Rattus norvegicus: one gene and its partners. The protein of the gene in region 1 purifies or fractionates together with the protein of each later gene. This does not show direct contact. Links are inferred from orthologs where the notes say so. Each region holds a gene or a part of one and is shown in the gene's direction. Other genes may lie near its edges.

Region 1 (6,039 bases):
TTGGTTTGGTTTTTTGTTTTTGTTTTGTTTTTTAACCTGTGCATTTTCTCAGTGCACCCAGCCCGTCCTCTGGTCCTTGTCATTTGACAGCCCTTCCCACATCTTGTCTTTAACTGCTCAACTCACATTTACTTGTCTTTCTGATGAACCATCTCTCCCTTCCCCTCCCCTCCCATCCCACCCCCCCAGACCTGGGAGGATCTCGAAGGCAGGGTCCGGATCTCTCTGTGTGTCCCCCACACCCAGCCCAGGGCTGGCCACAGAGTAGGTGGCAACTGTTGGCTTATAAGAGGAGCGGATGAGTGAAGTGACTTAGGTTCTGGTTCCACCTTTGGGGTGCTTTGGAGGGAGTGGCTGGGAGTAAGACTGGAGGCAGAGGAGTCCCAGGAACCTGGTGGTGAAACAGCACAAGGCCCTGTTGGGAGGCTCTGGAAAAGTTTCTGCAGACTTCTGTTTTTAACCGCTGTCCCATTTTTCCTTAGCAATGGTGGATGTCATCTTTGCCGATGTGGCCCAGCCAGACCAAACCCGAATTGTGGCCCTGAATGCCCACACCTTCCTGCGGAATGGAGGACACTTTGTGATTTCCATTAAGGTATGGATCTTGCAGTGTCAGGTTGAGTAGCAACAGCGAACGTTGTGGATGCTTGATCTGTCCTGGCTGAGCAAGTTACTTAGCTGAAGCCTGTTTGACTTGGTCTATTAGTCTTCTCTGTGGTTGAAGATCTATAAGTGTTAGGCATTTGGAACAGACTATGGGGTAGAATAATACTAACTGCAGCAGGTATGGTTCTCAAAACATTTGTTTAAAATATAGAAAACTCTCAGGCATCCTCACCATCTTCAGAGCCTATTGCTACATTTGTTCTATTGCTGCCAGCTGGCCTTCAGCTGTTACCGGAATATGGAAGAGTGTTCCTGACTTTAACCACTGCCTTAGATAAGGGAAACAACCTGTTTCCAGTCTGAGCTAAATTAAAATGTCTTTTTTTTTTTTTTCCGGAGCTGGGGACCGAACCCAGGGCCTTGCGCTTGCTAGGCAAGCACTCTACCACTGAGCTAAATCCCCAACCCTAAAATGTCTTTAATGTAGGAAATTGGCTAAGTCTGCATCTCCAAATCTGTAACAAAGACATGCTTTTAGCTTAAAGTCTTTTCTCCTCTCTAGGCCAACTGCATTGACTCCACAGCCTCAGCAGAAGCTGTGTTTGCATCTGAAGTGAAAAAGATGCAGCAAGAGAACATGAAGCCTCAGGAGCAGTTGACACTAGAGCCTTATGAACGAGACCACGCTGTGGTTGTAGGTGTGTACAGGTAAGTACCAGAATAGACCTCTCCCTTACTTTGGGCCAGAGCTTCCAGGGCCTGAGAAGCTAAAATTGGTTACAACTCGACCCACTCTGATTTCCTCACAGGCCACCTCCCAAGGCGAAGAACTGAAACTCGACTGTCTGGATTGAAGAAATGTGTGTTGTTGCTACTGTTGCACATGTGGCTTTTGACTTTTTGCAGGGGATTTTTCTATTAAAAGACTAATCTGTCTTCCCTGTCTGGTGCTGATTGCTCAGTGGCCTCAAGACGCATGCGTCCTTGATCAACTTTGTGTGGTGGTGGTGGGGGGTGCCTGGAAAGTTTCATCCGGTCACATGGTGCACGTTCCATTGGTGGCTGCTACGCACGTGCGCGGCTCAGCACCCTTAAGGCGCAGGCGCACAGTGCTCCACTAGGTCACGTGAGGGGTGTGGGGGCGGAGCCGGGACAGGGGGGCCGGTTTGTTGTGGTCGCCATTTTGCTGGTTGCATTACTGGGTAATCGGGGCCCTGGCTCGCCGCGTCCACCAGACACCCTCAGCCAGTGGGCAGGTCTGAGCTCGGGCTTCCCGAGCAGTTTGAATCCCCTTACCCACGCCCTCAGGTAACGGTACTGCGACGGGCGGGATGGCACGCTTGAGTGGGGGGCAGGCCCGGACCCGCCCTGCCGGTCCCCGCGAGATTTAGCAAGGGAAAGGAGGGGGCTTCAGGCCAGTGCAGCGCAGCCCGGCACTTCACAGCCGAATTCCTGGAAGGGGCTAAGCCCGAGGGAGCTGTCTTGAGGGGGAGCCTGGGAGGGGGGCAGCCCGGCCCCACTCCCGCCCTTTGTTTGGGCTCGGCTGCGCTGGCCGCTTCGCTGTCGCCTAGCAACAGCTGCCCTGACTGCTAATTGGTTAAGCTCTTGGCAGCAACAACCAATAGCGCGGTTGTTGCCATGGGAGGTGCGGCCTGCCGGGTTCACTTGTGCCCCGCCCGCCGGGACTCCACCGGCCGGGGCGGGCCTGCCGGGTGGGGGGCGGGACGCCAGGGTCCCTGGGGGCGGGTGGCCACGCGGGGCGGGGCTGGGCCGTAGGGCGAGGGTTAACCCGCCCCTCCCCCGTCCACCTGCTGTCCCCTTCCCCCGCGTGCCCTGGTCTGACCCTCGTCCCCTCCTTTTCCCGCCCCTCCCCCTCGGTGGCAGTGGCGGCGGCTGCTGTTGTCACCCACCGGGCCGCCTGTCCCGCTTGCCCTCACTGCCGCGGGGCTGGCTAGGCTAGCCGGGCCGGGGACAGGCGGCCACCTCCTCATCGCCGCCGCCGCCACCGCCGCTGCCGCCATGCTGGCCGCTCGCCCACCGCACTGGGGCCCCCATCGCGCTCCAGCCCCCCGTGGGCCCAGCGCCAGCCCTGACCCGGGTAGGGGTGGGTGCTGGAAGAGCTGGTCCTAGTGTGGGAGGGCTTGGGGAGAGGTTGTTTATCTGTGAAGCTCCAATAAAGGGGACCTGGAGTAACAGGACAGGATAGAAGGGAATCTGACAAGGGGGAAGCTCCTAGGGAGGGGATTTTGTTCCGAAGGACACTTAGAGGGAGTGAAGTCTTGTGTGATATTTAGGGATTTGGCTTGTCGGGCCCTTCTAGGAATAGGCTCAATTGTGGAATGACCCCGCTTAGAAATGGAGGAGATAGCAAGGATCCCAGGATAAGGAAGAAAAAGACAGTGACTCTTAGATGTTGAGAAATTACACCTCCCCCTTGTTTTCCTAAGGAGTTGGGGTCTTGAAGTAATAAGAAAATACTAGTGGGATAAATATAGACTACTTAGAAGAAGAGTCCCTGGTGCGGGAGACCTCATATAGGGAGCAGGGAGCGGTCTTGGTGGAGTATGGAGTTGGTCCCAGGGGAAAGTATGCCATGTTGGTTGAGACATCTATAGCTCGCATGTAAAGGAGTTCTCAAATAACCTTGGTTTTGCTAGGAGGTCCACAAGGACTGCTATGTTCTTTAGAGAGAACTAGTGGGTAGGCTAGGCTTGAAATTGGGCCCTCACTGTTGAGGGAAGACCATGTGAGGGCGGTGCCTTTTCTGAGGGACTCAGGCTGGCCACCGGCAGAATTTCAAAGAAAGCCTGAATTCTACTACCCAGACTACTCGGTTTCTGCCTTCTCTTTTGCTTTCCTAATTCCTGGCCTCTTTCTCTCCTTCCTGCCCTGGCCTTGTACCAGCCCTTTCCCACCCCTGTCTGGTTTGATGATTCCCTTTTACATTTTTCTCAATGTGATGCCTCATTCATTCATTTGGCTCATTTGTTGAGAGACATGGCTGTTTTAACCCACTTGCTACCCGTTTCTGTTTCTACATGGCTACCTGGTGCTTGTGCTCTGTCCTGTTCCCTGTCTCCCCCTGGTCCTGCCCTCTAGTTCATGCCCACTTCTTCTCTAACTGACCCTGACCTCCACACCTTCTTGTTTCATGTTGTCCTCCCACTTTCTACCTGCTCTCAGGTCTCAGCGGCGGTGGCAGCCGAGGTGCAGGATGCGAGAAGGCGCCCCCCGGCCGGGCTCCCGCTCCAGGCCTCACACCCCTGCGGCCCTCTGAGCCCACCATGGCCGTCCCACCAGGCCATGGTCCCTTCTCTGGCTTTCCGGGGCCCCAGGAACACACACAGGTAGGCATTGAGCAGGCTTCTCACCTGCCTGAAGAGTGAACGGCCTCCAGACAACAGCATGGTTGTTGGAGGATCTCTGGGGAGTTTGGAGGCCTCACAATACTAAAAGAGTTTCAGGTAGTTGGACTTTGAAGAATCCACCCTCTTTCCTGCTGAGGACTGAATTCTTGAGCTTCTCCATAATGTGTGTCTTGGGGTCAGAACTGTCACTGGCACAGAGCAGACAGAAAGAAACACAGGTCTGAGTGTTCACGAGAGAGAAGCCTGAAAGAAATCTAGAGGGGGCCAGAAGGAAAATGAGCTGAGAGCAGTGGGAGACCCAGGGAGACTAATCCCAATCCAAGAGCTTTTTAATTGGGCAGAGATACTTACTTGAGAGTAAGGACAGGAAATTCAATAGCATTGTTCCCAGAAACAGTGGTCTCAGGTGCAAAGACTCAGGGGACAGAACCCAGATACGGAGCAAAAGACCTAGGGCTGAATGGAAGGTCAGAGGTAAACCACTCACTTCATATAATGAACGGATGAGTGGAACCCACAGTGTGTGCTTGTGCTCCTATACAGGATGCGATCAGAGCTAGGGAAATGTAGGCATGGTCAAATGAGGTGTCAGCTTTACCCTTCTCTCCTAGAAGTTGGAGGTGAAGGCTTGTGCTCAGTGTCTGCCTCCCTCTGCCACAGGTATTGCCTGATGTGCGGCTACTGCCACGGAGACTGCCCCTGGCCTTCCGGGATGCGACCTCGGCCCCGCTGCGCAAGCTCTCAGTGGACCTCATCAAGACCTACAAGCACATCAATGAGGTGAGTGGGGAATGGACTTCTGTGGTTGGGTGTTGAAAGGGGTCCTGGCTTCTTGCCTGGATCACTAAGGGTCCAGTTTCCTGGCTGCCTGAGCAGGTATACTATGCGAAGAAGAAGCGGCGGGCCCAACAGGCGCCACCCCAGGACTCGAGCACCAAAAAGGAGAAGAAGGTCCTGAATCACGGCTATGACGATGACAACCACGACTACATTGTGCGCAGCGGCGAGCGCTGGCTAGAGCGCTATGAAATTGACTCTCTTATTGGCAAAGGCTCTTTTGGCCAGGTGCGAGGTTCCCCCGCTCGCCCAGTGCCTGGGTGATGCAGACAACCACTTGGTTACCCCGCTTCCTCCTCCCAGAGTGTTCACTTGCTAAAAGTCCTGCCCTGGGCCCGCCACTCAAGCCACTTAGTTTCCCTGTCTTAGTTCTGGATGAGTATAAATCACAAGACTCTTTGAAAGAGAACTGTTGTTACTTTTTATCCATTACAAGGGATGTGAGCACTGGGCTGTGAGTTGTTAGAAAGGTATGGCTGGTGGGCCTCTCGCTTACCCAGGTAACTCTCCTTGTCTGGACAGGTGGTGAAAGCCTATGATCACCAGACTCAGGAGCTGGTGGCCATCAAGATCATCAAGAACAAAAAGGCCTTCCTGAACCAGGCACAGATTGAGCTGAGGCTGCTGGAGCTGATGAATCAGCATGATACAGAGATGAAGTACTACATAGGTAAGGCCTGGGTGGGTGCAGGGCGCCTGGCATAGAGAGGCCTCCACTGAGGGCTGAGGGCTCCTCAACCTCTGCTGTGGTCATGATTTCTCCTTTCTGCTCACTGAGGGCCAGACTCTGGCAAACACTTGCCATGAACTACCTCCCCCAAGCCTGGTGAGGGACAGGGCAGCTTTGTGGACGTGTTGGAAAAACGGAGGCACTCAGTGCTGTCACATGCATGAGGTGACAGTTCAGGCTCAACAGTTGATAATGTGAGAAGCAGTGACATCTAGAGCTATGGCTCTTGTGATATGTCCCAGTCTTCAGTTCCTCTGGAAAGGGATTCTTTAATAAAAGGACAGCCAGTATCCCTTGCCACACAGACAGCAAAGACAAAAGCAGGTTCTTTTGATAGTTTGGGGTTTTGGGTGATGGTGATATTTTTGGAGGTTTTGTTTTGCTATTCTGGGGATCAAACCCCGTGCTTCATAAATGCTAGGCAAACAGGTCCTCCCTTCAAACATCCCCGACCCCAGAACATCTCCAGACCTTTTTTTACTTCATTATTTTGAGCTA
Region 2 (6,192 bases), on another chromosome or scaffold:
TGACTGCTAAGACTTTCTGATGATTTCATAGTTTTTATTTACAAATAACTACAAATATCCTTTGGTATAATGGTGGCTTCAGTGATTAATACTGGCTTTCTCTGTTGGAAGTTCAGCTTTAAGTTGATGAACTAAGCAGGCTTGTTAAATGAGATAAAAGGAGGCTTTTTGTTTTTTATTTTTTGTGTCTTTGGATCTGTGATCCTGTGAGAAACACGGCTAGGAGAAAATGTGAACAAAGGAGACATCACTCAGTTTTGAGTCCCAACACTGCACAAACTAACCACGGTGGCATAAATCTTAATTTTCACGAGGTGAAGAAAAGAGAATGAGCAGCCCAAGGCCGTGCTCAGCTACATAGTGAGTTTCAGGCTAGCGTGGGCTATATTGGACTCGATCCTAAAAACAAAAAAGGAACTAACTCCAGCAGACCAGGTTTTAAACTATGCAAAATATTTTAACTTTTGATCTAATACAGCCTATCTGAGGTTTTTGTTTGTTGGGATGCACATATATAAATACAATGATGAATAAATGAATGAATGAATAAAGGGAGACTACTAGAAAAGGATCTTTGAGAACTCCCTGTTTAGCACCTTTTCATCAGATCCGTGGTTAATAGTCAGAACTGTCTGCTGCAGGAGATGGTATTGCTTAGCTGTGCCTTACAAACAAGAAACTTCTCTATGGACATACCAAGATCACAGACTATGTGGTGGATCTGACTGTTTCCAGGATTCTAGGAACCTACCCAGTGGCTTTCTACAGGAACCTAATAGGGCTTGAGGCCCGTTACCAGAACCATCACTCCCACGTTTAAGAGATCTTTTTAGAATGCACATCGATTAAAGCTGCAAAGGGATTAAGGACGTCACATGCAACATGTATGTTGACTTTTTAATTTTAGAGGAACCCACATATTACTTTAGAATTTCTTTCCTTTCAGAAAGTTCTTATGAAAACTGGAGACTTATTTTTTTTCTACAGGACTAAACTGTGAATGGTGGGCCAATGAAACAGCTCAGCCAGATCTGTGAGTTTGATCTCCTGGACAGACATGGAGGAAAAGAACTGGTTGTCCTCTGACCTCCACATGCACACACATGCCTATACACAAGCCAAATTCAGAAATGTAATAAATAAAATATGGGTAGTGTACCCAGTTCTGTATCAAATAGAATCAAACGGAGGCCGCAGCACTTTATAGACTTGCAAGCTAATAGTCATTTTTCTAAGGTATAAGGGAACTGTGAAGTAATTGATTAAATGAATCCTTACTTGAGATTTATGGGGGGGGGGGTAATAGCAACACTATTCGGTAACAACTTCACAGATATCATCTAAAGTTGCATTCTAACCTGCAAATGTAATCATTCTGAAATTGGAATCTTTGTAGCGCTAAAAAGAAAAAGGAAAGAAAGATATAAAATACCCTAAGATTAAATTTCTTTTATTTTCGAGCCCTGCCTATAGGTAGATGGAATTAGGACAGCACAAAGATTAGGGGGTGAGGGGGTCCCCAAAGTGATGTGCGTACGTGTTAACTAACAGATACCACTGTTGTAAGGAAATGAGTTACAGAAAGACTCGGTTCAGACCATCCCTGGGGACAAGGTGGTCCGGTACAGTCCGTCCCTTTGGCCATATTCCAGGAGTCCCAAGGGCTCCCTCCGGGAAACAGGGACGCGCGTGGCTATGCGCGCGCCTACACGTACACGCACGTGTATACACACACCACACACACGCACGCACGCACGCACCACCCCCGCTCCCGCAAAAGCGCCCCCCCTCCCCCCCGGCGTTCCCCCTCCCGCCACAGCCGGTTTCCTCCGCGGCTCGACCCCTCGGGGGCGGGCCTCTTTCTCTTTAAAGAGCAGACGCAGCCTCGGGGAGCCGACCAGCACGCAGCCAATCAGCGAGTCCGAACGGCTGGAGCGCGCTGACGCTGCACCAATGAGCGGCGTCAGGGGGCGGGGACAACGGAGGAGACACTATTGTTGATGAGGAGCCGCGGCGGCGGCTGCACCACCTCGTCGCTGCCCGCGCGCCCCCTCTTCCCGAAGTCAGGCTTCGTCACCCGCTGGCTCGGGCCTTTCCTCGGGCCCCAAGCAGCAGGTCCCCGCCGCCCAGCACCCCCGGCCGCCGTCTTTGGGGCGGGGGGGGGGAACCATGTCCCAGCGGGTGAGGCGCAATGGGTCTCCCACGCCCGCCGGCGCCCTCGCGGGTGGCGCGGTCGGCCCGGCCGGGGGCCCCGGGAGCCGCTTGCAGCCTATGAGGGCGACAGTGCCGTTCCAGCTAAAGCAGCAGCAGCAACATGGCAGCCCCACGCGGGGCGGCGGCGGCGGCGGCAACAACGGAGGCAGCGGAGGCGCCTCAGGCCCCTCGGGTGGCGGCGGCGGCGGCGGCCCGCGCACCGCCTCACGCAGCACCAGCCCCACGCGCGGCGGCGGCAGCGCGGCGGCGCGCACCAGCCCCACGGTGGCCACGCAGACGGGCGCGTCCGTGACGTCCACGCGCGGCACCAGCCCCACGCGCGGCACGGCGCCTGGAGCCCGAAGCAGTCCTCCGCGACCGCAGCCGCCGCCGCCCCTACTGGGCACCGTGTCGTCGCCCAGTTCGTCGCCCACCCACCTGTGGCCGAGCGAGGTGAGTGCGGCCCCACACCCCGCCCGCGTTCGCCACCGGAGGAGGTCCCCAGAGCAGGGTCGGCCCTCGGCGGAGAAGAGGAGCCCCAGCGCCCCGGTGTGCAAAGCAGGTACGTGGAGGGTTGGGGTCCCGTGCCCTGGAGTGGGGACTGCAGCACTCCGGTGGGGAGGGGCGGGGCGGGGCGTTCGGTCCGCCACCCATGCGTCGTGCCTCTGCGGGTCCCCGCCGTGGAGGTGCAGCCGCTAACCTTGGGCCTTGGCTCAATTTGTGGAAATGATAAACCCTGGGGTTTGGCCTTGTGTCGCTACTGCTAGGGCTGGACCTGTCACTTTTGTTTTAGTGACGCGATTACTGCTTGCAAATAGCACATGTGTGCTGCTCAGTGTTTCTGTTCCACAAAACAGTTTCGGATATGGAGGACTGAATGCATCAGCAAAGGCGGATTTGGATCATAGAAGAGTTGTGAAGCTGGGAGCAGTTTTTGCATTTCGTAAGACTTAATGAGCAGCAAGAAGGGAGAAGTTGAGCAAGATTGCTTTGGGGTGTGTGCATAGGTCTATGTATATATTTACGCATATGCGTAAATGTTAGATAGCTAGCCTGAGGGTCTGAGTGTGTTTCTGAGATACTGGTTTTTCTCTTTGACTTATTTTTTGCCCTTTCTTTCCTCCCTGAAACAATCTCACTAGCTCTGGCTGGGATGGAACTTGCAGTGTAGACCGGGCTGGGCTTGATCTGCCTGCCTCTGCCTTCCTAGTGCTGGGATTAAAGGCACACCCGTTTTGTGTGTGTGTGTGTGTGTGTGTGTGTGTGTTGAAACGGTCTACTGTAGCCCCTCAGCTGGTCTGTAACTCACTGTGTAGATAGTTTAGTCTCTGCCCTCTGAGCATCAGAACCATGCTATCAAAAGCATGCTTGCTACGTTGCCCTGCTACAAAATGCTCTCCTGCAATAATGGGCAGGCGGTTTTCACACAAGACCTCATTTTAGCTTTCATATTGGCCTTTAGATGGGTTAAGAACAAGTGGTGACAGGTGAGCTTTGGTTCTGTTTGTCTTTCACAAAGAACAAGTCTTCAAATTAGATCAAGGGAGTAGCTTCTTATATATAAGAGAATGTCCGAGAAATGCATTGCACAGCAAGATTACAGGAATGCTGACGACTTCTGCAGTTTGCCGTTGAGTTCCTGGAGCCGGGTAGTGCATCTGGTGTATGGAAGATGAGCTGCTAAGTGGGAGTAGATGAGGAAGGAGACGCCGGCCTCAGCCTGATAGCAGAATGTTTTAAAAAGTTGATTCCCAACACACCCTGAGGAGAGCTTAATTAAGGTAAACAGTCAGTGTGAAGGAGGCTTTATTTCTGGGGCCATCAGACTCCCTGTGTGCTCATTCATATTTTCCAACGCCCCCCCCCCCCAAAAAAAAACCCAAAACAAAAAACCAAAAACAGTAGTTACTCTTAAACTAGGTATGAGGGATACGGCTTGTCTTTCAGTCTTACTCAAGTGTAAATATCTGATGGCTTCCTTTTGGAATATATTCTTGTTTTACTCTAATTAGATCCATACAAAGTGGGGGAAGTCTTTCTAGCCATAGACCACTGTGATTAAACCGCTCCATGTTTATGTGACCAAATCTAGAAAGAGACATTGTAGTTACTGGAACCTTTTTTGATTGAAGGGAGATTACCAGTTTGCAGGCTGGATGAAATGTAAAAGTTCTTACTGTAGAAACAAAGGTGTTAATTGATGCAGTTCTGGAACCCTCACATGCCTGGGTTCATCATCAGGCTGCTAGCTTCTAGGTGTCTTATGGCGTGAGCAGAGACCCCGCCTTCACCAGGGGCTTCAGTATTGCAGAGTCCCTAAATTGGAGATCTCAGGATCCCTAGCTGGTTGATTATTTCTCTGTGCTTTGAACTAATTACTGAATGATCCAAAATGTCTTTCTCTTTTATTTTTTATTTATTTATTTATTTTGTATATGAGTACACTGTAGCTGTCTTCTGACACACCAGAAGAGGGGATCGGATTCCATTACAGATGGTTGTGAGCCACCATGTGGTTGTTGGGATTTGAACTCAGGACCTCTGGAAGAACAGTCGGTGCTCTTAACCTCTGAGCCATCTCTCCAGCCTCCAAAATGTCTTTCTCTTGACTCTGATAAAGTCACTACTCACTTATCCATGGAAGCTATTTAAACATTCAACTTCAGTGCCTGCCAGGAGCCTGTCTGGGTTAGATGTGCTTTCAGAAAGTAACTCAGCAGCAGGGTTAATTGTGGAGTTTACTTTTTGTTCTCTCTTCTTTTCATTGTCTTATTGAGATGAGAAGTGGAGAGGCAGCATCAGAGCAGTTAGAATAAACTCTGGGTAGTTACTGGGCTCAATGCCCATGTCAATTATTGTGAGTCACGTGGTACAGAGAAGTGAATAGCATAACTTAGTGATAGAGTCCATGGTTATATGGGATTCTTTATTTTACATTGTGTGCGTGTTGTATGCATGTGCATTGGTACTTACATGCTAGGGTCATATATGAGAGGTCACCAGATGGCAATCCGCTGGAGTCTCTCCTCCTTTTCAGTTTTTGGGTCTGGAGGACTGAACTCAGACACCTTTACCTGGTGAGCTATCTTACCAATTTTAGTTCTATTTAAAAAGTTTAATTATATTTTCTATTCTTCCCTCCCTCCCTCCCTCTCTCCCTCCTTCCCTCCCTGTGTGTGTGTTTGTGTATGTGTGTGTGTTTGTGTGTGTGTGTGTGTGTGTGTGTGTGTATTTGTGTATATATGTGTGTGTCTTTGTCCACATGGATTCCAGAGCTTATGCTTGGAGGTCAGGGCAACCCTTAGGAGCTGATGCTCTCTGTCCACTGTGAGGGTCCCAGGAATCAAACTCACATTGTTAGGCTTGGTGGCAGGCACTTTTACCTGCTGAGCCATCTCTAGCCCCTTTTACTTTATTTTTTAAGAATTATTTATTTTATGTATATGAATATACTATAGCCATCTTCAGACCCACCAGAAGAGGCATCGGATCCCATGACAGATGGTTGTGAGCCACCATGTGGTTGCTGGGAATTGAACTCAGGACCTCTGGAAGAGCAGCAGTCAGTGCTCTTAAAACACTGAACCATCTTTCCATCCCCCCTTCCTTTTATTTTAATTGACTAATAATTTATATTTATGAGACATACTTTGTTTCTTATACATAAATACATCATAAAATTGTCATGTATGGCTAATTGATCTCTATCATTTCATAATAAGTATTATGGTATATTTAAGACTCATCTTAAAAAAGTACATGTGCGTGCCTGAGTATACACACATACATGTTTGCTATGGCACTACTGCAGAGATCAAAAGACACTTTTCAGGAATAGGGTCTTTGTTGTAACTGTGCTAATTCTAGGGATTGAACTCAGGTCACCAGGTTTGGCAGCAAACAGCTCTTTGTTTTCTCTGAGCCATCTTTCTGAACTTAAAATTATTATTTTTTCAACTATCCAATGTGTAATTCATTCAATAGACTCTTGCATAGTTG
Region 3 (5,050 bases), about 160 Mb from region 1:
CGTGCGTGTGTGTGTTTGGGCGAAGCCTTTGTTTACCTTTATTCTGGGACTGACTCTATCCTGTTTTTAGTAGGAGAGGAGGATAATGTTTTGCTTGCGTGGCTATTATCATGATTAAAAATAAGCATTTTGAATTACTTAACATAAGTAGACGTTTAGAAACGGTGCCGCCGGGGTTGGGGATTTAGCTCAGTGGTAGAGCACTTGCCTAGCAAGCACAAGGCCCTGGGTTTGGTCCCCAGCTCCAAAAAGAAAGAGAGAGAGAGAGAGAGAGAGAGAAAGAAAGAAAGAAAGAAACGGTGGGAACCATTGTTTTTCATTTATAGGGGTGAGAACCCTGTATGGGAAAGCCAAGTAGTATGATGATTTTGTAAGATCAAGGTGGGCCAGAGAGATGGCTCAGAGGTTAAGAGCACTGACTGCTCTTCCAGAGGTCCTGAGTTCAAATCCTAGCAACCACATGGTAGCTCACAACCATCTGTAATGGGATCCGATGCCCTCTTCTGGTGTGTCTGAAGACAGTGACAGTGTACTCATACACGTTCCTAAGTTCAGATCCAGTACCCATATAAAAAGGTGGCCGTTGTGGCAAAGGACTGGAATCTCAGCACTTGTCAGGCAGAGACAGGCAGATCCCTGGGGCTTGCTAGCCAGTCAAGACTAGCTGGATTGATGAAATCCAGGTCCAGAGATTGTGTAAAAACTTAGGTGGGAAGTGATTGAGGAAAGCTCCTAACTTTGACACTTTGACATTTGATCTTCACACATAGGCACCACGTATCCATACTCATACATATGCACCCCCCTCTGTGTGTGTGTGTGTGTGTGTGTGTGTGTTTTGAAAGATCAAGTAAGCAAAGTGGGCTTGGTATCACACACCTGTAATCTTGAAGGGCTTGTGTTCAAGGGGATACATAGTGAGTGGACCCAGGCCAATAGAGTAAAACCCTGTCTCACAACAATACTAAATTTTTTAAAAAGAAAGGGGTCGGGCAGATCATCCTCACAGTGTCACATGCTACCTCATTTCAGAATATGGAGAAGATCCTGATCCGACCAACAGCCTTCAAGCCAGTGCTACCCAAACCTCGAGGGGCGCCATCCCTACCTGGCTTCCTTGGTCCTCGAGCTGCTGGGCTATCTGGGAGCCAGGGCAGCCTGACACAGCTGTTTGGGGGGCCAGCCTCTTCCTCCTCCTCTTCCTCTTCCTCCTCTGCTACTGACAAACCCTTGGCACTCAGCGGTTGGGCCAGTGGCTGCCCTTCAGGAACACTGTCAGACTCTGGCCGAAATTCTTTATCAAGCTTGCCCACCTACAGCACCGGAGGTGCCGAGCCAACTGCCAACTCCCCAGGTGGGCACCTGCCCTCCCACGGCCCTGGCCGAGGGCCACTGCCTGGTCCAGCCCGAGGGGTCCCTACTGGGCCCTCCCATTCAGACAGTGGCCGGTCCTCCTCCAGCAAAAGCACAGGTTCCTTGGGGGCTCGTGTAGCTGGGGGGCTCTTGGGCAGTGGGGCCCGGGCCTCCCCTGGCAGCAGTTCGGGTGGAGACCGCTCCCCACCCCCTCCACCACCTCCACCCCCTTCGGATGAGGCCTTGCTACACTGTGTCCTGGAAGGGAAGCTTCGAGACCGAGAGGCAGAGCTGCAGCAGCTGCGGGACAGTGTGGATGAGAGTGAGGCCGCCGTGTGTCAGGTGCGGCCAGTGGCAGTCCTGGGGCGGTGTGGCTGAATACCCAGGGCCTAGGGACAATTCCTGTTGGGGAGGAAGAGGGTAAAGACTCATGATGTGACACCCCCAAGGCTATGAGCATAACCTTCAAAGCAGTGAGGAGGCAAGGTATGTGAATTGGATCCAGCACTGGCTTGTAGGATGTTAGATTTGAGCAAGTTGCTTAACCTCACCCAGCCCCAGTTTCCCTGTCTAAATGGGGATAGCTGTTACTCCCTAAAGGGGTTATGAAGATTAAATAAGACGAAAGGGATAAAGTACTTAGAATAATGCCTGTCACCTAGGAAATGCCATATAAGTGCCTGCTTTTATGGTTGTCCTAATTCACTGGATTCAGGCCAGGCAGGGAGCCACCCAAGCAGAAGATGCTAGAACTCACGATTTGGGGGGACCCAACCGTTTCTAGCCTTCTGTCTTTGTCTAGGCATTCGGGGCACGGCAGCGGCGCTGGCCAGGAGAACGAGAGGACTGTGCCTCTCACGCACAGCAGGCCACACAGCGTGTCCAGCGGGCTCAACAGCTGCTACAACTGCAAGTGTTCCAGCTGCAGCAAGAGAAGCGCCAGTTGCAGGATGACTTCGCCCAGCTGCTGCAGGAGCGAGAGCAGCTGGAGCGCCGCTGTGCTACTTTTGAAAGGGAGCAGCAGGAACTTGGGCCACGGCTAGAGGAGACCAAATGGGAGGTATGCAAGATGGGCACTGGGTGGGCTGGAGGGATGGCTCAACGCTTAAGAGCACTGACTGCTCTTCCAGAGGTCCTGAGTTCAATTCCCAGCAACCACATGGTGGCTCACAACCATCTGTAAACTTCTGGTGTGTCTGAAGACAGCTACAATGTTCTGATATACATAAAAAATAAATATATTAAAAATAAAGATGGGTACTGGGCAGGCTGAAGGGGTTACACTAAGATACACAGAGGTGTGGCCAGTGTTTAGCTACCTTCCAGGGTCTGTCCTTCCTATTCTTTCTGTGTTGGGGGTTTCCCTGTTCCTCTGTTGTTCTCAGAGTTGTGATCTAGCACCCACATAGCTAGTGGTGTTTCCTTCTATGATAGATGGGTACTGTTAATCCCTCTGTTTCCACTCCTGCAGCCTCCGTCTCCAGGCCTGGGCCTTGTTTATACAGCATCTGGTATAAGGATCCCAGCACTGAAAAGAAATGACCTGGGTCTCTGTTCCCCTATCACCTCTTTTTTTTTTTTTTTTTAACATTTATTTATTATGTATAGTCATACAGCTTTCTACCTGCATGTATGCCTGCAGGCCAGAAGAGGGCACCAGACCTGATTATAGATGGTTATGAGCCACCATGTGGTTGCTGGGAATTGAACTCAGGACCTCTGGAAGAGCAGACAGTGCTCTTAACCTCTGAGCCATCTCTCCAGCCCCCCCCCCCCTTTCACCTCTTAATAGAAGTATAACCATGGACGTATCACTAGGCTCTCCTGCTGGGCTTCTGTGTGTAAACTCCTGAGACAGCATTTCCTTGAATGCCCGGTGCCCAACACCCAGAGGCCTCACCATCTTCCCTCAATACTTTTCACCTACAGGTGTGTCAGAAATCAGGTGAGATCTCCCTTCTGAAGCAGCAACTGAAGGAATCTCAGGCAGAGCTGGTCCAGAAGGGTAGTGAGCTGGTGGCGCTGCGGGTGGCCCTTCGAGAGGCCCGGGCTGCCTTGCGGGTCAGTGAGGGCCGTGCCCGGGGCCTGCAGGAGGCAGCCCGAGCTCGGGAGCTGGAGCTGGAGGCCTGCTCACAGGAGCTACAGCGGTACCGCCAGGAGGCTGAGCAGCTCCGGGAGAAGGCTAGGCATTTGGATGCTGAAGCAGCAGGACTCCGGGAGCCCCCTGTACCCCCGGCTACCACCGACCCGTTCCTCCTGGCGGAGAGTGATGAGGCTAAGGTGCAGCGGGCAGCCGCTGGGACAGGGGGTAGCCTGCGGGCTCAGGTGGAACGGTTGCGCCAAGAACTGCAGCGGGAGCAGCGGCGGGGAGATGAACAACGGAACAGCTTTGAGGGGGAGCGGCTGGCCTGGCAGGCGGAGAAGGAACAGGTGATCCGCTACCAGAAGCAGCTGCAGCACAACTATGTCCAGATGTACCGGCGTAACCGACAGCTGGAGCAGGAACTGCAGCAACTGAGCCTAGAGCTGGAGGCCCGGGAGCTTGCTGATTTGGGCTTGTCGGAGCCGGCCCCTTGCATCTGTCTGGAGGAGATCACTGCCACTGAAATCTAGGACTTTGCAAGGGGTGCGAGCCACCGCACCACCTGCACCGGGATCCATCGAGCAAGCGCTCCAGGTCTCAGAGCCAAAAGGCCTCTGCCGAGCATTCGGGTGGCCCCATAACTTGGAGAAGCAGAATCAACCCCCCTGCAGTTCAGTGTCACTGTCACCCAGAGGCTCCTGCCTACGCTGCCATTTCACTCCCCACCGCCGCCACTGCCAGTCCACTCCAGCTGGGAAAGGAAAGGGGGCTAACCTGTCCCCACATTCTACCTGCCTGAAGCCAGAGAGAACCAGATGGCACCAGCTGCCCCAGATGTGCCTGCCCTCAATATGCCCACGTGGAGGGGCGGGACTAGGAATGGGGCTGATCCCCATGTCCCAGCTCCGCAAGCCTCTTGTGGGCTGAGGGGGCTGAAGTCAGACCAAAGGAAGAACTCAGCAATGTCTTGTTTATTTGTGTTCGTGACCAAGCCGCCCTCCCTAGTTCCAGGGTTATGGCCTCGTTCCCACTTGTATATTTTTCACACTGTAAATTTCTTGTACAAACCCAAAGGGGAAAAAAATTAAAAAAAAAAAGTTTTGTTAAAAAAAAAGGCTTGATGGATAAACTCTAGGGGAATTTGTTTGACATCCTGTCTCCTCTGCTTGCTGGCTACCCACCTACCTGTGATGGAGTTCTTAGGACTAATCCAGTAGGAATCCCGGGCCCTGGTGGACGACACCATGAGTCGTGAGGAACTAGAAAAGCCTTTCCTTCTGTCCTTTGCACTGAACACTGCTTGAGGCTGGGGGATGAATGCAGTGACCTTGACGACTCAGTTTAAGCCCCTCAGATTATGGTGAGCCAGGTCCATCGTGAAAAACCTCACACCAGTTACAGGCTTCAGACTTGAGTGTCTGTCTCCTCACTGGGAGGCAGTTCCAGGATTAGGGAATGCAACTGGCTTAGGTTGCCCACTAGTACACCTTGTAATTGGATATCCAGCTTATCTTGAAAGGCCAGAGCCCTTTTGACAGCCCAGTGGATCAGAGCCACCCAAGTATGGCAGTGCTCTCGGTGGTCAAATGGATAGGACAGGTATATGGAACCTGG
Region 4 (5,534 bases), on another chromosome or scaffold:
GAATGGATCAAACTAATGGCAGACTGGAAAGAAGGAACCTGTGATGGCAGATCTGTCTGAGGAAATGCCGTGTGTGTGTGTGTGTGTGTGTGTGTGTGTGTGTGTGTGTGTGTGTGTGTGTGTCTGTCTGTCTGTCTGTCTGTGTGTCTGTGTGTGTGTGTCTGTGTATGAGTATGTGTGTGTGTATGAGTGTGTGTGTGTTAGGGCAGGGAAGGTTTGCTGCCTGGCAGATGTAGTAGAGGAGCGTTTAGTACATTGGGAGCTGCTACCTGCCCTCTTTCGTGCTGAACCCCATAGGTAGAGCGCGGGTAACAGCAGTTACCTAAGCTGGGAGAGCTCTGTGCTCTGAACCACACTGCGGGAATCCCCAGTGTTTCCGCAGGAGGATTACCTACAGCCAACAGGAAAGCAGGTGCTGAACACAGAGCACACTTGAGAATCTTGGTAATGATGACAGCAGATGTCAGGGTGGAGGATGAGAAGAATATCTCACTAAAAATATATGATCTGAAGCCAGGTGGGGTGGCACATGCCTTTGATCCCAGCACTCAGGAGGCAGAGACAAATGGTTCTCTGAGTTTGAGACCAGCCTGATCTAAAAATCAAGTTCCAGGACAGCCAGTGCCACACAGAAATGCTGTCTCAAAAAACAAAAAACAAACAAATATAAAGTAAGGTCTGTGTTGAAAGGATGGTTCAGTGGTTAAGAGCCTCGGCTGTTCTTCCTGAGAACCCAGATTCACTTCCAGCACCTACATGGCAGCTCACAGCCATCTATAACTCTAGTTCCAGGGAATCCTATGCCCTTTTCTGACCTCAGCTATTCATGAAGTACACATTCATACAAGGAGCCAAAACGTTCATACAGATAAAATACAAATCTTAGGGAAAAAAAGGTCCTCTGGCTGCCCTGGATACTAAGGGACAAATACTGCTAGTAGATACCCATCTATCTGTGATCAGTGTGCTCACCCCTTTCCTCTAGTAGATACCCTTCTATCTGTGTTCAGTGTGCTCACCCTTTCCTCTAGTAGATACCCACCTATTGTGATCAGTGTGCTCACCCTTTCCTCTAGCCATAAAGAAGCTCTCTGTGTAAGATTGACTGATTCAAAAGGGCCATGTATAGTCACACATGTCTGTGCTCCTATCACTTGAGTGGCAGATGCTAGAGGATCAAGAGTTCTGGCTTATCTCCCGCTATATCATAGCAAGTTTAAGGCTAACCTGGGCTGTATGAGACCCTGTCTTAAAACAACAGGAAAAGGAAAGAGTGATTAAAAGGGGATCCTGGATGCCTATAATTCTAGTGCATAGGTGGTAAAGATAGAACAGTCTAAAGTTTGCTAGCCTGGGCTACATGACAAGACCCTGTCTTCTTAGGCCTGACACACCAGGTAGACAAAGGCTTTGTCTAGTGCTGTTCTGCTACATAAGGACACACACACACACACACACATTCATTCTCTCTCTCTCACTCTCACTCACTCTCTTTCCCCACAGCCCTTACCACATAGCAAGTTTGAGGTCAACCTGGGCCACATGAGAATTTATTTTTTTCAGATTTACTTATTTTTATTTTATGTGTATGGGTGTTTTGCCTGCATTATGTCCTTGTACCACATGTGTACATAGTATGAGAAGGCAGAAGTGGGTGTCAGATCCTCCGGTCCAGAGTTACAGATCATTTGTAGCTGAACCTGGGTATTCTGTAACAGCAACAAGTACTTTTTGCCACCAAGCCATACCTCCAGCTTCTAGTTGTCCTCTTAAAAAACACAAAACCAAAAGCATGTTACCTTTTTCATACAAATGGATCTCACGTCTAGGTTTTATAGCTGAACAGCTTGGTAGAGCCAATGTGGTTTTATCATGACTCTGCATCTGACTGCACGTAAGTGAAACCACTGGCAGCCAGAAAATGTCGTTTCTGTTTTATCTCAGGGTTGAAAGAGGAAAAGTAGAAGGCAGGAATGGGAAGAAGTCAGCCAGTGTCTATGGTAGAATGATCTTTATTCTCTGAGAAGCCACAAACTTAACCTGCCTTTGTGTCATGAGCTGGGGATCAGATGATCTGGAAGTGACTGATGTCCATGCTGTGGGAAAGGAGAAGACTGGGCTGAGTCTGAAGCTTCTTACCAACAGGTCTATGACATTGCGTTCAGCCGAGCTGGAGGTGGCAGGGACATGTTTGCCTCTGTGGGTGCTGACGGCTCTGTGAGAATGTTCGACCTCCGCCATCTGGAACACAGCACCATCATTTATGAAGACCCACAGCACCACCCCCTGCTTCGCCTCTGCTGGAACAAGCAGGACCCCAACTACCTGGCCACCATGGCCATGGATGGAATGGAGGTAAGGCCTGAAGCCTTGTCCCTTGACTCCAGTGTACTTACAAGAGTAGCTCTCAGATGTTAGCAGCCAGTACCCAGGATAGCTCATGGAGATGTTTTTGATTGTCACAAGTTAGAGCATGGAGTCTTCCTGGCATCCCATGAGTAATGACTAAGGAGGCTGCTACTCATCCTGCAGTACACAAAACAGCCCCAACAGTGCCAGTGGGCACTAGACTGAGGGTCCCATCCACAAAAGGACTGTGTTCAGAACCTGCTCCCTGCTTGTTCGGTGAGACAGTCTCTGTAGCCAGATGAGCTTGGAACTTACTGAGCATCGTAGGTGAGCCGTAAGCTCAGTGCAGTCACACGGCCTTCTGTGCAAGGGTCTGATGTGGTGGGATGTGGCTTAGTGGCAGAGTGCTTGTCTAGCATGCTCAAGGCCCTGAGTTCCATCCCTAGTCCAAAAAAAAAAAGCAACACCGAACAAAAACAAAATGCATACACACCCATGCTAACACACACCCATGCTAACACACACCCATGCTAACACACACCTTTAATCCCAGCACTTGGGAGACAGAGGCAGGCAGATCTCTGTGACTTTGAGTCCAGTCTACAGAGTGAGTTCCGGGACAACAAGGCCACATAGAGCTATCCTGTCTCAAAAATAATAAGTAAGCAAGTAAATAAATTTCTGGTAAAGTGATGCTAAGACCGGTAGAAGAGTGGTGATGGGTCTGCAGCTTGGGACTCGGTACAAATACCACAGAGTCACCATGATTCTGGAGGCTCTTCAAGCTTGGTCTTGTCCTTGGTTCAGCAGTCTCTGTTTGGGAAAGTGGTGTTTATTAAGGAAGCTGGTCCTAGACAGAAACTTCATGGATGAGATAAGAGTACAAGTCAGAGTAGCAGGCGTACGGGAGGACTTGCTGTTCCTGGCCCAGAGTGTGCAAGAGCCTTTTACACCTAAACACATGCATGCCTATGCTTCCTAGCTTCAAGTGTAAAAACTCTGGTCCTGAAGAAATAATATAAAATCCATCTGGTAATTTGTCATGAATTAGTTGTATTAACTAATTTTTAAAAATGCAAATAAACAATTCACAGTAAAGAAAAAAGGGTTAGACAAGTAATAGCTAGATGATATTTAAACCAAGTCACGGTTACTGGGACTGATAGAAAGGAGGCCTTCCCACTCGGTGTTCTAGGCAGACTCTGCAGCTGTTGCAGGCAGATGTATAGGCAGAGGCTCTGTGGTCTGCCAGTTCTCAGGAGAGGGGTGGGTTGTTGGTTGAGAGGGTAGGTAGTTAGCCTCGGTTTGGGTGCGGCTGATGTCTCAGACTTCTTACATCCTGGGTTCTGCATTGGTAAGACACATTCCACCTAACTGAGATGCACAAATTTTTTTGTAGGCTCTTAGCAAAGATGCTTGTGGATCATCAAACTCATATTGCCTGTTCCTTCTTCCCCTTCCCCTTCAGTCTCTTTAGTGTCCAGTCTCTCAGCATGGAGAGTACAGGGTCTATGTTTGCTCATTTGTATTGTTCGTTTCTGCCTCAGGAAATGCTACCTCTAGCGTTCTTAGATCCGTAAATGAAGAGACCATTCTTACAATTGGGTGTGTGGGTGTTCCCTGCTGCACTCTGCAGTTATGGGCCTTTCTCTTGTATTTCTGCAGGTGGTGATTCTGGATGTCCGAGTTCCCTGCACACCGGTTGCCAGGCTAAACAACCACCGAGCATGCGTCAATGGCATTGCCTGGGCCCCACACTCGTCCTGCCACATCTGCACTGCAGGTAACCATGGTGGGAGGCAGCATCAGGGTCAGGTGACCGTGGTGGGGGAGGCATCGGGTCTTAAGTTTGTTTTATTTTGTTATTTATTTTGTTGAGTCAGGGTCTTGCTGTATAATTAATGCTGGCAGGCGGTGACTTGCTGTATTTATCAGGCTGAGCTCCAAATGGCAGCAGTCCGCCTCCTCTGCCTCCAAAATGCTCTCATCACAGTCATGTGTCACCACACCTAGCGAAACACATCAGTTGGCAACAATTCAGGTTTTTTGTTTATTTTCTGATGGTACCGGGGATTGGACCTAGGACTTTGAACACGATAAGAGGCACTCTGTCACTCAGCTGTGTTTCCTGCTCCTGTTACTGGGATTACAGGCATGGATGGAATTTTTTAATGTTTATGTCTGTATAGCACTTTATGTCAGTCATCTGTACAATTCATTGAAATATAAATGTACATAAATGGGAAACAGTCGTCAGAGAAGCATCTTTATCCACTCAAGTATTTTTAGTGGCTGAAGTGACATCGTATTTTGGGATCATTGTATCTTGTGTCCTTTCTTGATTCCTCAGCCCAGTGTCCTGATCTAATTCTCTAGCCTGGTGCAGGAAATGGAGCTTAAGGACACCAGGGATGTGGAGTCAGGACCTAGATTTGGTCCTCACTGGCTACATGGCATTAGGGAGCAAGTCCGAGGACATCAGTAAATCTTGGGCTCCTCTTTTCTGAAATAAAGCTCCTTTTACAAAGTTTTGCAAATTGTGACTGCCTCTCCAAATACAAGACTGTCACCTCATCACCTGAGCTCTGGCCTTCTTACTTGCTTTTTCCCCAGCGGATGATCATCAGGCCCTCATCTGGGACATCCAGCAGATGCCTCGGGCCATCGAGGACCCTATCTTGGCCTACACAGCTGAAGGGGAGATCAACAATGTGCAGTGGGCCTCGACCCAGCCTGACTGGATCGCCATCTGCTACAACAACTGCCTGGAGATCCTCCGCGTGTAGTGTTGGCACCTCACCGACTAGGCAGGGGCTGTGTGCTTCAGCCTCTGCCCCCTTCCTTCCCACGTAAGAAGAGTTCCCAGTGGCCAGTATGTCTACTGTTGCTTTAACCCACTGTGTCCAGAAGCTGCTGTAGAAGTCCAGGCCAGTTACCCCGCTGTCTGTGTTGGACTGTGCTGTGTGGCACCACCGCGGCCCAGGGCTGGGTTTTAAGTTTTCACTCCTTTCCTCCTCTTTGCTTCTTCAATTAAACGTCTCTGTGTATTTGTTTGTCAGCTGTTGGTTCATGAACAGTACAAGCACTGGCTCTGTCTGTCTGTCTGCTGCTGAGGCAGTCGTCTGTCCCCTGTCCCTATGTGTTGTGCTAGCACTTAAGTGGGAACAAAGACCAACTTCAGACTG
Region 5 (6,028 bases), on another chromosome or scaffold:
AGTCCTCATACATGACTTGCAGTGGTTTTCTTTTGCAGTAGTGAGCTATAGCAATCCTTGCCCTTGTTTTAGTCTCCCTCCTTTCCTTCCTCCCTTCCTTCCTTCCTTCCTTATTTATTTTCTATTTTATTTTATTTGGTGGTGGTAGTGAGGGGGTAAGAGTGCACCTTACTCCGTAGTCCAGGCTGGCCTAGAGTGCAGTGCAACCCAGGGTGGCCTTGAGCCTTGGCAATCCTCCTTCAGTGTCTCAAGTGTTGGGATTAGAATTTTGAACCAAAAAGCCTGACTCAGTTTCTTTCAGTGTTTGGCAAATAAGCCAATGCCAACTTAACTTTCACACAGCCATTTAACTTTAGTAAGCATGGTTAGTACTAAGAAGGGAACAATGTGACCTGTGCCCATAATCTCAGCACTGGGGAGACAGAGTCAGGAGCTCAGGGACCAGAAAGCTAGCCTGATCTATATAGTTAGTAAGTTTCAGGACAGCCGGGGTTCACATGAGAGCCTGTCTCATAACAAACAAACAAACAAACAAAACCCCACCAAACCAAGGGGTTAAGAGTCCTCAGTTTTGATATATCTTTACCTACCACTTGGGCAGTTATTTAACCTTTCAGAGGGTTTGTTATTGACAGTTTCCATCTGGTAATTGAAAGGAGAACGGTAATATATATGTTTACTTAAAGCATATAGTGCAAGTAGACATGGTAATTCTTGTCTATAATCCCAGGACCTAGGAGGCTGAGGCAGGAAGAACAGAGTTTAGGGACGTCTCTAGTTACATAGTAGGATTGAGACCAGCCAGAGTTAAATGAGATCCGGTCTCAAAGATAAGCAAACAAAGAATGTAGCTCCTTGCAGTTGCAGGAACCATGTCTCCTTTACTCTTTGTCAAAGGAAAATATGCAGAGCAAAATTAATCTCCACAGATGTCTGTTTGTTGTTTGTTTCACTGTGTAACCCTTTTCTGGCCTCTGCAGTTGAAATGCTGACTGGCTGGCCTGGAAGCAGACGCAGCCTTCTTGCCTTTGCCTCTTAAGTACTGGAATTTTAGATGTGTACCGCTGCCCCTGGCTTCCCACCTCAACTTTTTAATGATTTTTTTTTTACTCTTCTTTTTCAGTTTGCATACTTGAAGGTTCCTGCTTCCTGCCCTCCCCAGCTCAAAGATGAACTTCTCCATCACTAAGTCTGCTGCTGTTTACCTATCCCAGACAAGGGGGGATTCAAAGCATTCACAGCGAACACTTTATTTTTAGGGATTTGCTGCTACAACTGTATAATAATGAAATGACTGGAATTACTTTTTTTTTAATTACCACTTTAACCGATTAAAAAAGAAATCTAAAACTCCATCTGCGCATGAAAGCATTTATTGAAAACTTTTTTTCTCAGCTGAGACCTCCAATTTACCGAAGAGCAGGAACCTCTATGGGCTTTCTTCTCTACTTACATCAACATTCAGGCTATTGAAAAAGGACTTAAAACTTTGGCTGAGGTGGGAGGTGGTAATAGTGGTGTAAACTTAATAAAAAGGTGGTTTCCAGTTCCTGGAGAGGAAATACAGTACTGTTGACATCGGTTCCTCATATGTCAGCTTCCTCCCTCCCTCTGTCTTTAAGTGGTCCAGCCATAATCATCCTGCTCCACCCCCTATACACCCCGCAACTGAACCACCTATGATGTCATAATCACAATCCCATTACCTCATCCTGCTTGGGGGGGGGGCATAAGGAGGATAGGGAAGGGAGGGAGTGAACAGCTTCAGGCCCGCCTCAGCTTTACAAAGTGTTTTGAGAACAAATTATCGAGCAAGGGGACACAGCTCCGCAACCGTTATAAATCTCAGGTTTATAAAAGCTCCAGCAGATCAGGCAGCTAGAAGAGGGGCTCGGGGACTCAGAGCAGGCCCTGACCGGCGCTTGGACTACATTTCCCAGCAGCCTTCACGCCGAGGATCAGTCCTTGCCGGGGGAAGGTGGGGGGATGCTTACAGAAAGGTGGCTGTATCGAAAGGGACAGGAGCCCAGGTGAGAAGACTGTGGCTAATACTGTTTTGTGGCCTGAGTTGAGTCAGACAGTTCAGCTGGGAGGATGGTGTAATGGAAGAAGTGGACAATGGCTTTGTTTACCTTTATCCGACATGGCTTCCCCTATGGGCTTCGTGATGTGCTTCCAACTGGGCCCGTCCACTTTCTACGATATTTTGGAGGGGGGGAATAGTTAGTGAGGAAACCATCCGGTTCCCAAACCACAGCTCTAGGCTTCTTTCCGACAGCACTCTACTGAGAAAGGTTGCGCGAGACACCACGTAGGGCTCGGGCCTCTTCGGGAGGTTCCGGGGGATTCTGCGATTAGACGCGACCCCCTCGACTCTCCTCAAAGACCGGTTGGTTCTTGCCAGCGCCTTTTAAGGGCACCGTGGGGCGAACGGAGCGCTCAGAGCTGCTCCGGCCGCGGCCCAGGGAGCTGTAAGAGCCGCGGTAGGTAGCGGAGGGCAGGTGGTGCTGGGGCCTCGGGGCGGGCACCGCGACCGTCCCTCCCTCTCTCCCCTCCCCCAGTCCAGCCGCTAGTGCGGCGGAGCCTTGCAGGCCGCCTCGGCGGGAGAGCACGGGACCCGGTGGGGGAGGGGGTGGCAGAGTGCATGTCCCAGACCCTTCCCATCCCCTGCGTCCTGAGTTCGCTTCCCGCGGTCAGATGAGGAAACCAGAATGGATACAGGAGAGCGACAGTCTCTCTGAGCAAACCCTGGAGTGCCCCCCCGGGGGCCAGTAGATGCCCCATGCCCCACCCCGCGGGGACAGGCAGGGCAACAGAGGGAGAGGTTGAAGATTAGAGGGAGCCTAGTCGTTTGCTTTTTCGTCGTGGTGGGGGGATGGGTGCACCCCACTTGTCACCCCTATCTTCACTAGAACCATATGGAAGAAGAGCATTCTAATACCCACTTACCGTTTCTTGCATCTCCCTGCCTCGCTTATGTTTTCCTTCAGTTTCTCCCAGAGGTGTGGGACCTGGAGACCTGGGGGAATGCCCCCAGGGGATTTGTGACTTTCTTTTTCCCCTGGCCTGACTGGATCTTAGGTTGTCCAGGTTTCAACACAACCTAAATATCTGAAACGCAAGTGTCAGGGGTTGCTTCCATCCAATAGGATTGGGGGGGGGTGTCTAGTCGTTATCTTAGGGGGTTGTGGTGGAGGGAGATCCTGGGCTGAGAGTTAGGCCTGGTGGGGTTACTGGGAGGGCCGAGCGGCCTGCTTGCTCAGTGAAGGGTTGAGCCTTGTGCCAGTAACATTCAGCTGAGAAGTTTTAACTTGTTTAGTGAAATGTTGAGAGCTGTCTACCTCTCCGATACACAAAATGGAAGGGGAAGGAAGGCCGCCAGAGAGGGTTTCTCACACTTTTCTAAATGTCTGCTTGAGAAAGAGGAGGCCCCTTGCAGAGCTGGTTTGCCTTCTTTTGTGTCCTGGTTTGATTCCTTATGGCTTCCGTTCTGTTGCCCCTCTCAGCCTGGCCTGTTTTAGGAAACCCAGGCTGAGAGTATCAGTTGCGTGGTGGTAGTTGCATTGTTCCAATTACCGCTGTGTGTGGCCACATCCCAACAATTAAAATGCAGAAAAATAGAAAATCACCCTCTTCAGCTGCTCCTGGAGAGGGCTGGGAGTTTGCTGTTTGTCCAAATGCCTCATGAAAAGATTGAAAGTTTTTTCTCTCCCTGCTCCTCATGGCTGGTCAGCTTAGAGCCTGGGGTCTCTCTAGGGTAAATTCTCCACTTAGTTCCCTTCTTGTTGGTTTTTTGAGGGCAGAGTTAGAAAATAGGAGTAGAAGTGATTCAAGCTTCTTTGCTTCTCCCACCAGAGCACAGCACAGGGGAAGCAGCTGAAGGGAGTTCTCAGGAAGCTGGAACTTTGTTCGGAGTGGTAGTAATAATTATGTGTGGAAACGATAGTTAACTATAGTGATGATTGACGTCTGCGCCTTTCTTCCAAAGAACGCCATATGCATCATAAGGAACTTAGCTCTTCTCTGTCATGTTCTTCTGATACCCTCTTTTTTCTTTTTTTTCTTTTTCTTTTTCTTTTTCTTTCTTTTTTTCTTTTTTTTTGCAAGGGGTGGGCTTCTCCAAAAGGTCACAGGAGGAAGAGCCCTTAGGCTCCAACTCAGTGAGCAAGTGAAGGAGGTTGGCATCTGGCCAGAGAGAGCCACATAGCTTTCGTCATTGTAGTGATACCACCTCTTTAGGCATACCAAGGCTTTGAAGAACAGCAAAGGGAGAGATAAGAAACAACAGTCTGTGTGAACTATTTTATATAGGCCAGTTGGTAAGCTATTTTGATATTTCATGTGGCCTCATTCCTGTGATAGAGTAAGATCGTTATACCCATTTTATGTATGGGCAAGCAGGAACGTTATGTGCTTAGTCAAAATTGCCTGAGCAGAGTGGATTAAGACTCGGTGAAGGTAGCAGCATTTTCTTTCCGGACTGGCCTTCAAGAACTGTTAGGTTCCTGTTTTCACTGCCCAGGTGCTGGGATTACAGGCGTCTGCTCAAGAGTTAGCTGTCTTAGTTGATTGTTTTCTATACCAGTTAATGCTCCATATACTCTGGTCTTGCCTGTTGGTCATTTATGGGAAGAGGTAGAAAAGACATTGTTAACCTCCCCTCTGCTTCCCTCTTTGAACAAAGCAAAAGTCCCTTAGGTAGGTAATTGGGGTTTAGAAGCTGCTCAGATTAAAAATCAGTTTGCGGGTTGGGGATTTAGCTCAGTGGTAGAGCGTTTGCCTAGGAAGCGCAAGGCCCTGGGTTCGGTCCCCAGCTCTGAAAAAAAGAACAAAAAAAAAAAAATCAGTTTGCTTCAGTCATAAGGAAGAATCTTTGTTAATTATATCCATGGTCTTCGAGTGGGTTCATGAAAAGAAAAAAACTTGGTTGGATGAAGTCATGAGTTGTTTTTAATATCTGTAGAGTTGAAATGTGATTGTGATTGGAACTATCTGACTACCTGACCATTCTTTCTCATTGGATAAGAGAATAGCCAGCAGCATCTACTGGGAAATAGCAATATATCAGCTGTTCATTTAAAATCCTCTTTATCCTGATCTGAAACTGAAAGCCCAGCCCTTGCTCCTCTCTCTGTACTAAACCCATGTGGTTTAGAAGGGTTTCTTTCTTGGCTTCTGGCTGTAAGATAAAGAAAATATTGTGTTAACTCAGTGTGGAAATAACCATTTGGGCATCTCTCTCATTTGAGCCGTTTTCTAGGTGGTGCTGATATTCTAGGTAGACACAACAGAACTTAAGCCAGGTTAGAAATGGTAAGTAGGTTTCACTTTGCTTGCCAACTCCAGTTTATTTTACTGGATATCAAGAGTGCCAAGTTCAGAGTGTTTCTGAGGCTGTCTTTAAGCTCACCAGGAAAGTACTATGATCGATTAACGATGTCTGCCAGAGGCCTGGCATAGGAACACTGTGGTATGTGTGCCATGCCTTCTCCATCTAATGTTACTTGGGGGCTGACCCCTCTGTAATTGGCAGACGCCGCAGGCATGACTGGAGAGGGAGGTCCCAATGGTGCTGCAGTGGCAGAAGGTGGCTCATGAGTGAGATCCAGAAGAACCACAGGGAAGACATCCATCAAGTGTGCGAGTCAAGTCCTGGGCAGAAACATGATAACCCTGATCACTGAGCAGCTACAGAAGCAGACGCTGGATGAGCTGAAATGTACACGCTTCAGCCTCAGTCTGGTAAAGACCAGTATTTCTTCTGCTCCATCATCTAACCCCCTTTTTTGGAGGCTGTGTGTTGCTATAATTTTACCCATGTTCTGTGTTGTATGAAACCTGCTTGTAGTGGAAAAGCCTACTAACCGCTCAAAACCCAGCCCAAAAGGAAGGGGGCAGGGACACTAAAACTTGGGTGAAAGGGGCTTTGTGATGTTTGAGGTGTGGCTTGTTTCTCACTAACTTGGGGAAGACTATAGGAAGAGAACAACACAGAAGTCTAAATCCTTGTAGCCCATGACTTATAGGA

What was found.
Region 2: the proteins of Dyrk1b (region 1) and Fam117b purify together in Homo sapiens (affinity purification with mass spectrometry; 3 studies listed by BioGRID and IntAct, counting the BioPlex papers as one, with this or other methods). This does not show direct contact. The link is inferred for Rattus norvegicus from reciprocal best matches to the Homo sapiens genes DYRK1B and FAM117B.
Region 3: the proteins of Dyrk1b (region 1) and Lzts2 purify together in Homo sapiens (affinity purification with mass spectrometry; 3 studies listed by BioGRID and IntAct, counting the BioPlex papers as one, with this or other methods). This does not show direct contact. The link is inferred for Rattus norvegicus from reciprocal best matches to the Homo sapiens genes DYRK1B and LZTS2.
Region 4: the proteins of Dyrk1b (region 1) and Dcaf7 purify together in Homo sapiens (affinity purification with mass spectrometry; 10 studies listed by BioGRID and IntAct, counting the BioPlex papers as one, with this or other methods). This does not show direct contact. The link is inferred for Rattus norvegicus from reciprocal best matches to the Homo sapiens genes DYRK1B and DCAF7.
Region 5: the proteins of Dyrk1b (region 1) and Fam53c purify together in Homo sapiens (affinity purification with mass spectrometry; 3 studies listed by BioGRID and IntAct, counting the BioPlex papers as one, with this or other methods). This does not show direct contact. The link is inferred for Rattus norvegicus from reciprocal best matches to the Homo sapiens genes DYRK1B and FAM53C.

Annotation. Positions count from the first base shown.
Region 1 is NC_086019.1:92,604,966-92,611,004, forward strand, and holds the start of Dyrk1b (dual specificity tyrosine-phosphorylation-regulated kinase 1B), read left to right. Parts: upstream 1-2,488; 5' UTR 2,489-2,625; coding exon 2,626-2,704; intron 2,705-3,789; coding exon 3,790-3,953; intron 3,954-4,634; coding exon 4,635-4,754; intron 4,755-4,850; coding exon 4,851-5,039; intron 5,040-5,333; coding exon 5,334-5,481; intron 5,482-6,039. Other genes in the region: Fbl (rRNA 2'-O-methyltransferase fibrillarin), read left to right, coding at 483-595, 1,169-1,314, 1,416-1,440.
Region 2 is NC_086027.1:68,832,338-68,838,529, forward strand, and holds the start of Fam117b (protein FAM117B), read left to right. Parts: upstream 1-2,016; 5' UTR 2,017-2,169; coding exon 2,170-2,755; intron 2,756-2,840; exon of another isoform or gene 2,841-2,919; coding exon of another isoform or gene 2,920-3,136; intron 3,137-6,192.
Region 3 is NC_086019.1:253,833,065-253,838,114, forward strand, and holds the end of Lzts2 (leucine zipper putative tumor suppressor 2), read left to right. Parts: intron 1-1,032; coding exon 1,033-1,695; intron 1,696-2,155; coding exon 2,156-2,413; intron 2,414-3,282; coding exon 3,283-3,966; 3' UTR 3,967-4,550; downstream 4,551-5,050. UniProt on the Homo sapiens protein: Negative regulator of katanin-mediated microtubule severing and release from the centrosome. Required for central spindle formation and the completion of cytokinesis.
Region 4 is NC_086028.1:91,486,640-91,492,173, forward strand, and holds part of Dcaf7 (DDB1- and CUL4-associated factor 7), read left to right. Parts: intron 1-2,145; coding exon 2,146-2,355; intron 2,356-4,014; coding exon 4,015-4,132; intron 4,133-4,962; coding exon 4,963-5,135; 3' UTR 5,136-5,534. UniProt on the Homo sapiens protein: Involved in craniofacial development. Acts upstream of the EDN1 pathway and is required for formation of the upper jaw equivalent, the palatoquadrate. The activity required for EDN1 pathway function differs between the first and second arches.
Region 5 is NC_086036.1:26,636,340-26,642,367, forward strand, and holds the start of Fam53c (family with sequence similarity 53, member C), read left to right. Parts: upstream 1-2,441; 5' UTR 2,442-2,483; intron 2,484-2,949; exon of another isoform or gene 2,950-5,533; 5' UTR 5,534-5,664; coding exon 5,665-5,742; intron 5,743-6,028. Other genes in the region: Slbpl (uncharacterized protein LOC100363294), read left to right, coding at 1,124-1,189.